2 linked regions of the Canis lupus familiaris genome follow. The protein of the gene in region 1 purifies or fractionates together with the protein of each later gene. This does not show direct contact. Links are inferred from orthologs where the notes say so. Each region holds a gene or a part of one and is shown in the gene's direction. Other genes may lie near its edges.

Region 1 (4,589 bases):
GGATATGGGGACTGGGGAGTGTGGACTCGCAGAAGGTACCTAAAGTTGGGTCTACTGTAGCATAAGCCTAATAATCATTTGTGTTGGCCATGTCCTGGTATGGCCTTAAGTTCTTTCACAGTAACAGCTGCGGAGTGAGAGAGTTTCTAGCCCTTTAGAACCACATTTATACCTTTGGACGAGAATCTGTTTAATGAGAATGAACCCCATACAAAGTTGTCCCAAGTCCAAGGAAAAGGTGAAAAAAGACTTACGAGGTCTGAAAAGCAAAGGCTGTAGCTATATAAATGCCGTCAGTTCGGCAGGGTGGGAATTGTGGGAGGGATGGCATAGTTGGAAAAACGGGTGATTGTGTTCCCAGGACCACCTAACCGGCAGAGCCTCCCAGCTCCCGAACCACCTTTTTAACTACTTTCTGAGTGTGCAGCAGCATTAGAGGTTGGAGAAGGGTGAAGGCTTTATGCCCGAAGCAACGTTTTCTTTTCTTCTATTTCCAGCTCCAGTCTGTGGATGAGCACTGTGTGTGGGGCAGTAGAGAAAACGGGGACTTTCTGGTTTAAGGAAAAGAAAAAAAAAAAAAATCTGTGAGCAACCCTGCGGTGGTCTCCGCGCTCGCAAGCCGCTGTCTAGGGCCTCGGCGTCGGTCGGCTGGGTCGGGCGAGCCCTTTAAATCCAGCTCCCCCGCCCCCCGCAGCACGCGCCCGCTCCCAGACAGGTGTTTTCCCAACTCCTGAGACTGAGGATTTTGGGGAGAGTACGAGCCAATAAGATTCCCCTCTGGGGGGTGGGGGGCGGGGAAAAAGGCGGGGCCAGTTGGGTCAGAGCGGGGGCGGGGCTCGCGGCTGAGCCGAGCCAGCCCGGTTGCGTGGAGGCTTGTTTTATCCGCCCCCCCTCCACCTTTTTTTTTTTTTTTTTCCCCCCTCCCGGAGTCTTATTAATTTCTCGGTGGGGCTGCAGCTGGAGACCGCGGAGCGTTGGAAATGACGCTCGGAGCTTTAATTACCGCAGCCGCCGGACAAGTGTGAGGAAAGCTGACGGGAAAAAGAAGGACAGGATCGGGGGAGAAGCGAGAAGCGCCCTCCCCTCGCCCCCCCCCCCCCCCCCGCCCTCGTCCTCCCATCCCCTCCCAGTTGGGACTGGAGGTGCAAGGAAACTGAAAAGGGAGCCCAACATAGCCCGGCTGCGGGGAGAGGCCGGAAACCTACCGCCTCTTTGCAATCAACTTTTTTTGGAAAGCCTTTTCCCCCCTTCCTTTTTATTGTTGACCAACCAGTGCGAGAAAGTGAGGAGGGAGCGAGGACGCGGAGGCTCGCACGGGGGAAGCGCTGCCCAGTCCGGCCCCGAGCGGCACGCGCACACCCTCGGGCGCACGGCCCCGCGCACACCGGCGCGCACGCCCCTCCTCGGGCCCCGGCCCCGGCCCCGGCCCCGGCTCCCCGCGCCCCCGCACCCCGGCCCCGGCCCCGCCGACTCGGACTCGGACTCGGACTCGGACTCGGACTCGCACGCGCACTCGCCCTCGGCGGCTCCAGCTGGGAGCCGGTGCACCGCGCCCCGGGCGCGCCGGACTCGGGGCCCTCCTCCGCGTGCCCGACAGGGGAGATGCCATTTGGACATGTAATTGTCAGCTCGGGATCTGAGACTTGCAGAAAATGAAGCTGGCGGCAGGACCGTGGGTCTGGGTGAGCCTTCTGCTGGCAGCGGGGACCGTCCAGCCCAACGCCTCCCAGTCAGGTGGGTGTCCGGGGCTCCGCGCCCCCCGCGCCCCCCGCGCCCCTCCGGCCTCCTCCTCCTCGGGCTTGGCTTCCCTTCCTCCCTCCGTCTGTCCGTCCCCAAACTTAGCCTTTTTCGTGTACCTGCGTTTCACTTACCGTGAAATGTCACTCTGCGACCCTGTCCCCCCTCCCTTTTCCCCCCTTCCTTTCTCCCCGACCCCCTTCTTTCTTTCTTTCTTTCTTTCTCCCGCGTTTTCGGGGGAGCCTAAAAGCGGGATCTCTGCGGGTCCTGCCGGTTGTGCGGGCCGCGGGACACGCGGCTCCCGAGGCTCCCGAGTTGGACGGTCCCGCCGTGCGGGCGCCCCGAGAGCGAACGCCTGGCACCGGCGCGCGGGGCTCCGCAGGGGCTGTCCCCGAGCCGGCGGGCGGCGCACCTGTGCGGCCGCGGGTCCCTCCCCGCTGGGGCGGCCGCCAGCCTGCGCGCCGCCGACTCGACGGAGCTCGCTGGCCCGCGGGCTCTCTCTAAAGAAAAGGGGGGGGGCAGGGAAGGGGTTTGACACCCTGAGCGGGAGCCCGGCCCTGCCGTCGTCGCCCGGCTTGGCTCCGGGAAGAGTTCTTCCTGTAGTTCAACTTCTATTGGCCCGAGTCCCTCCAACTTCGCTGTTTACTGCCCGGCGCGGCTGCCGAGCCGACCCGGGGCGCGACCCGGTCCACCCCGAGGCGGGAGCGACGGCGCCGCCACCGCCTCCGCCTCCGCCACCGCCACCGCCACCGCCTGCGAGAAGGCGCGAGCCCGGGCACCTGGACGGGCCCAGGCCGACCGCCCCCGAGGCCCGGGGTGGGCTGGCGTCCGCGGCGGCCAGGGCCACGCACGGCACCTGCAGGGCGAGGCTGCTCAAAGTTTTTGACACTTGAGTTTCCTGGGGATGAAAGCGGGGCGGGAAAGGACGGAGGCCGGTGGGTCTGATGCCGCCAAAGGGGGCCTTTTGCAGAGCGGGGGGGATCTCCGGAGCCACCCCGGGCTGGTGGCGGGAGCGTGGGAGGCAGCTGGGAGGGTGAAGCCCCCCGGGAGCGCCCGGGAGCGGGGCTCGGGCCGCGTCGGGCCCCCGGAGGGCGTCCCCCTGACCTCACCGGGAGCCGCGCGCCGCCTTCCGCGCTCCGCCCCCGCCGCTGCCGCCTTCCCTCCTAGCCTAGTAAATAACAAGTCGCAGGCGCCGAGCCTTTCAGAATGACCTTCGAGTGGCACCAGCGTGCGCCGTTGGTGCTCGCCGTTTGCACCCTCCCGATCCTCGGGAGTCCTTCATGCGCACCGGGTCGCGCGCTCAGCCGCCGCCGGAACCGCACCAGCCCCGACCGCGGATTCCAGGCGGCCTCTTAGATACGTGCCTTTTACCTCCTCCCTCCGCACTCCGAGTCCCTTCGTATTTTCCCTCAATGGGTCGATTATGCACATTGACCCATTCAAAAGCGTGTGCGACCGACACGCAGACTTAGGCGAGAGGGATTTCTCCGAGTCCGAGGCAGCCCACTGGGGGCTGTCGGTGCAGCCTCGGCCGCTGGGGGACCCGGCTCCGAGTGCGCAGCAACTCGGTATTAACTGTGTGGCTCAGGGGTGAGCTATGCCGAAAAGCCCTTTTCAGAATTTCTGCAAAGAATGCAATCCAAATTAGTTCTGCAGCTGTCCCCTTCCTCGTCTCCGGCGACACCGCCTCGCGCCCTCGCTGGTCTCTTCTCGCTTCCCCCCGCGAATGGTCAGACCCACAAGTGAGCCCCTGTAGAGCGCGGGGATTAGCGTGCCATTGTTGTTCTGTGTGTGACTCTGCACTTGAAATTCTAGGGGCACAAAGGCGAGCCTCACTTGTTCAAAACACAGAGTGATCCAGATGAAAGGGCCGCACAAAGAAAAGCTCTCGGTGCATCCCTGGTACAATTGCAACACGCATGCTAAGGTGATCCACTGGGAACTGTAAATGCCCCTGGGGACTTCTTTCTTCACCCTATTCCCCTCCTCACCCCCCCCCCCCCGCCCCCACCACCCCTGCCGCACCTGGCAGGGAAAGTTCAGCTGGTTTTAATACAGTGCTTTCACGAAACCAAGTTACTGTGTGGAGTGTGAGTGAGGCTGTGTGTGTCTGTGTCTGTGTCCGTGGGGCTGTCTGTTCCCAAGTAAATACATACTGCGTGTCTCCCCTCTCGCGGTTAGCAGTCAGTAGCAGTTTGGAGGAGTTTGTTTTGGTCCAAATGAGAAATTAAGTGCGGATAAGTAAACTAAGCTGCCAGAGGGCGACAAGATGTTGAGTGAATTGCTTTTAGATGAAACAAATTAAGGAAACGAGGGAAGACAATCTGCTTCTCGCATTATTAGACACGCTTGGAGTTCAGGGGAAAGTGGCATATTTTTGAAATGCTAATTTCTTAAGCAGAAGGAATGCACCTTATTTACTGCTCTATGTGAACAGAATAAAGATATGGGTGGAGGGAGGATTCTGTTGTATAGATCTAAGATATTTATTAAAATAATTATAATGGGAAAGGACCTGTTTTTATTTTTTCTTCTCTTGCTTGGGAAAAAAATCAGCTTTAGAGAAAACAATTTTTAAATATGTCTCAGGACTTTGTCTCATTTCCAGTAATTCATTTTATCCAGAAATACTATATATATATGTATATATATAGTATATAGCCAAAGGCCCTTTATAGGACTGTTATAAAGCCTTTTCTACCAAAAGGGATAATTTCAAAATTTCTGTTTTCCTGGCATGATTTAAAAATAGTATCACCTTTGTATTTAATTACAATATATAATATTGAAGTGATGCTCTTACATACCTCAATAGATATGGGATGAACAAGTTCAGTTTCCATTTCTTATTT
Region 2 (3,268 bases), on another chromosome or scaffold:
TCCCCCACCAGCCCCACGGCCACATCAGAGCTGAGGTAAGGTAAGGAGCAGCTTGTGTGAGTGCGCCACCCATGGCACGTCCTCAGGCACCATCTGGGGTCTGGGTCTCGGGACTGGGATTTCCTAAATCTGTGAGCTTAGACTTTGGGCTCTGGTCTCTGATCTCACTTCAGCTTGTGGTTTGAGTCCTTGATCTCTATCCCAGACTCCTAGTCTGGGTCTCTTATCACCGTATGCCCACCCCTCTGCCCCTGCCACCCTGCCTTTCTTTCTCTCGTGTTTGTGTCTCCTTTTCTGGATCTTTCTTAGTCCTGTCTCGAGTGGTATCTGTGTATCTGAGTGTGTGTATGTGTGTGTGTGTGTGTGTGTGTGTGTGTGTATAAATATTTCTTCTTTCCCTCTCAGGGCAGGGTGCCATTCGCCGTGCCTGACAAAGTGCTGTGGCCACAGCTGTGTGAGGCGCTCAACATGAAATTCAAGGCCGAAGTGCAGAGTAACCGGGGCCTGACCAAGGAGAACCTCGTGTTCCTGGCGCAGAAACTGTTCAACAGCAGCAGCAGCCACCTTGAAGACTATAACGGCATGTCGGTGTCCTGGTCCCAGTTCAACAGGGTGAGGGAACTGCCTCCAGCTGCCTGCCTGGGACCACCCATGCCCTGCCAGTCTCTCCCCACCTCACAGACAGGTTACTGGCCTCAGTCAGTGCCCCACCCTCCATCCTGAGTTGCCCTCTCCTATAGCCAGGAGAGACAGGAGCTAATACCCCAGGGAATGGAGGAAGGGGCAATGAGAAACTGCACTAAGCTCTAAGAGCCAGAGCAGGACAGTGGAAGGACCCTGGGGCTGGGAGTCAGGATCCCTGTCCTAGATCTGTTAACTATGGCCAGGCCCTTCACGGCTCTGTGCCTCAGTTTCCCCCCCTGTACCTTATAGTAGAAATGACTTTGGAGGTCTCGTCCAGCTCAGAGAATTCTGGGCACTTCCTACCCCCAACCTCTGTGTCTGAGAGGAGAGTCGGGTTTACTGTCCCATCGCTAGGCTACGGGCTGGGGTTGTGTCCGTTTAGGGACTGCTGAGTGGGGGGCAGGTCAGGTGAGGAATTGAGAGTATGTGTGAGTACAAGAGGGCACTGACTGTTTCCTGGGCCACCTGTGATGACCGGGCCACAAACCCTGACTGACTGAGGGTTTCCTGGGGGCTCTCAGGAGAACTTGCCCGGCTGGAACTATACCTTCTGGCAGTGGTTCGATGGGGTCATGGAAGTGCTGAAGAAGCATCACAAGCCCCATTGGAATGACGGGTGAGGAATGGAGAGGCCCAGGGTTTGGGAGGCCATGGGCTCAGGGAGCAGGAGACGCTGGCCCAGTAGTGACACTCTATGCTTCATGCACCCAGGGCCATCCTAGGTTTTGTGAATAAGCAACAGGCCCATGACCTGCTCATCAACAAGCCCGATGGGACCTTTTTATTGCGCTTTAGCGACTCCGAAATTGGGGGCATCACCATTGCCTGGAAGTTTGACTCTCGTGAGTGCTCTATGTTGCCCACACTCTGGCCCCAGGAACCTGGGCTCCCATGTCCTTGCTCCCCATTCTCCATGACATCTGCATCCTTAAAAGGTTTCACCAGGGGAAAGACTTGACCTGAATTTCCTTTCTACCATCTTCCATTGTGGAGAACCTAAAATCACTGGCCCCGTAGCCTCCAGAGCTGCTGGGGAAGTTCTTCAGCAGTTCTGGGTTCTTCTCCTTTCTCTGCCCTGACCTAGCCTTCCTGGCATCTCCTTGCTTGTTTCGCTGGGTAGAATGGTCCCATGGTCACTTACTCACCCCTATGCCAGAGGAGCACAAGACAAGGGGTGGGCTGTCAGAGCAGGCTAGTAAAACCCCAAATGTCTCTACAAGCCTGATCTCAAACCCCATGCCCCTGCCCCTGAGGGTAGTGGGTGGTGGGAATGAGCCTTTCCCTTTCACAGCTGACCGCAACCTGTGGAACCTGAAGCCGTTCACCACACGCGACTTCTCTATCCGGTCTCTGGCGGACCGGCTGGGGGACCTGAACTATCTCATCTACGTATTTCCCGACCGGCCCAAGGATGAGGTCTTCTCCAAGTATTACACTCCTGTGTTCGGTGTGTCTCACCCTGATGGTCCTGGGCCCTTCCTCAGCCTGTAGACAAAGCTCTTGGGGCCAGGCAGCGGGGACTCCCCAGGAGGAGCCCAGGGTCCATCTCCCCTGTGGACTGGGTCCATGGCTTGGTGCAGAACTCATGGAGGGGGTTTCAGAACTTACAACCGAGAGGGAAATCAAAGCCTCTGACCCAGTTGTCTTCTCTGCAAACCAAAAAGCTGGGTGGATTCTCCCTTCTGCACTCTGGGAAGAAGAGACACCAGTGCTGGCAAAGGAGGCAGGATAATCATACTGGCAGATCACCTGTTACTCCTATCTTAATGGGCTGCTCTCAGGACTCCCACCCTCAAACCTGTCCCCGCTCCCCCCCACCCTGCCAGTTGAGTGTAGGAAGCAAAATGGACAAGTTTTTCATCTTCAACTTGTCCCCAATCCGTTGTTGGGTTTGCTGCTTGGCATTGATTTTACTTCCTTGGCAGAGGTGGGGCGAGGAGCGAGTGAGCAATGGGGTCTGGGTGGCCCTGAGGCCGAGGCCATCAGCAGGTGTTTATAGGAATAGTCTGGGAAATCTCATCCCTGCCAAGGCCCTGGGGGATGGGAATAGGAGGCAGGCTGCATGCGGTGGGCTTGAGCTCCCAGAGACTGGTTCTCATCACTGTCCCCCCTCTTGGCAGCTAAAGCAGTAGACGGATACGTGAAGCCACAGATCAAGCAGGTGGTCCCTGAGTAAGTACCCAGGGTCCAGCTCTGGCCTCCCACTGCCTCTCTCTTCCCCTCAGCACCCCTCACCCCTCACCACTGCCCCTCCCGCTCACAGGCCCTGCGTGGCCCAGCCCTCCCTTCCCCCTGAAACCTGGCTCAGTTTCCCCCTGGAGAGGGAACTGGGCTTAGTATCAGTGGGACCAGTACCCAGGGCCCCAGGCCCACATCTGGAGTCCCAGGCACAGTGGGCACTTTGTCCTTCCATACCCCCTGGGCCCTCCCCAGGTCAGCTGCTGCCGTGAGGCCGCTGAGGCTCTGCCTCGTTTCTCCTGCAGGTTTGTGAGCGCATCTACAGATTCTGCTGGGGCCAGCGCCACCTACATGGACCAGGCCCCCTCCCCGGCCGTGTGCCCCCAGGCTCATTATAACATGTACC

The links.
Region 2: the proteins of ERBB4 (region 1) and STAT5A purify together in Homo sapiens (affinity purification with western blotting; 3 studies listed by BioGRID, with this or other methods). This does not show direct contact. The link is inferred for Canis lupus familiaris from reciprocal best matches to the Homo sapiens genes ERBB4 and STAT5A.

What each region holds. Positions count from the first base shown.
Region 1 is NC_049258.1:19,996,166-20,000,754, reverse strand, and holds the start of ERBB4 (receptor tyrosine-protein kinase erbB-4), read left to right. Parts: upstream 1-1,492; 5' UTR 1,493-1,652; coding exon 1,653-1,734; intron 1,735-4,589. UniProt on the Homo sapiens protein: Tyrosine-protein kinase that plays an essential role as cell surface receptor for neuregulins and EGF family members and regulates development of the heart, the central nervous system and the mammary gland, gene transcription, cell proliferation, differentiation, migration and apoptosis.
Region 2 is NC_049230.1:20,492,818-20,496,085, reverse strand, and holds part of STAT5A (signal transducer and activator of transcription 5A), read left to right. Parts: intron 1-405; coding exon 406-612; intron 613-1,205; coding exon 1,206-1,300; intron 1,301-1,395; coding exon 1,396-1,526; intron 1,527-1,975; coding exon 1,976-2,131; intron 2,132-2,804; coding exon 2,805-2,856; intron 2,857-3,167; coding exon 3,168-3,268. UniProt on the Homo sapiens protein: Carries out a dual function: signal transduction and activation of transcription. Mediates cellular responses to the cytokine KITLG/SCF and other growth factors. Mediates cellular responses to ERBB4.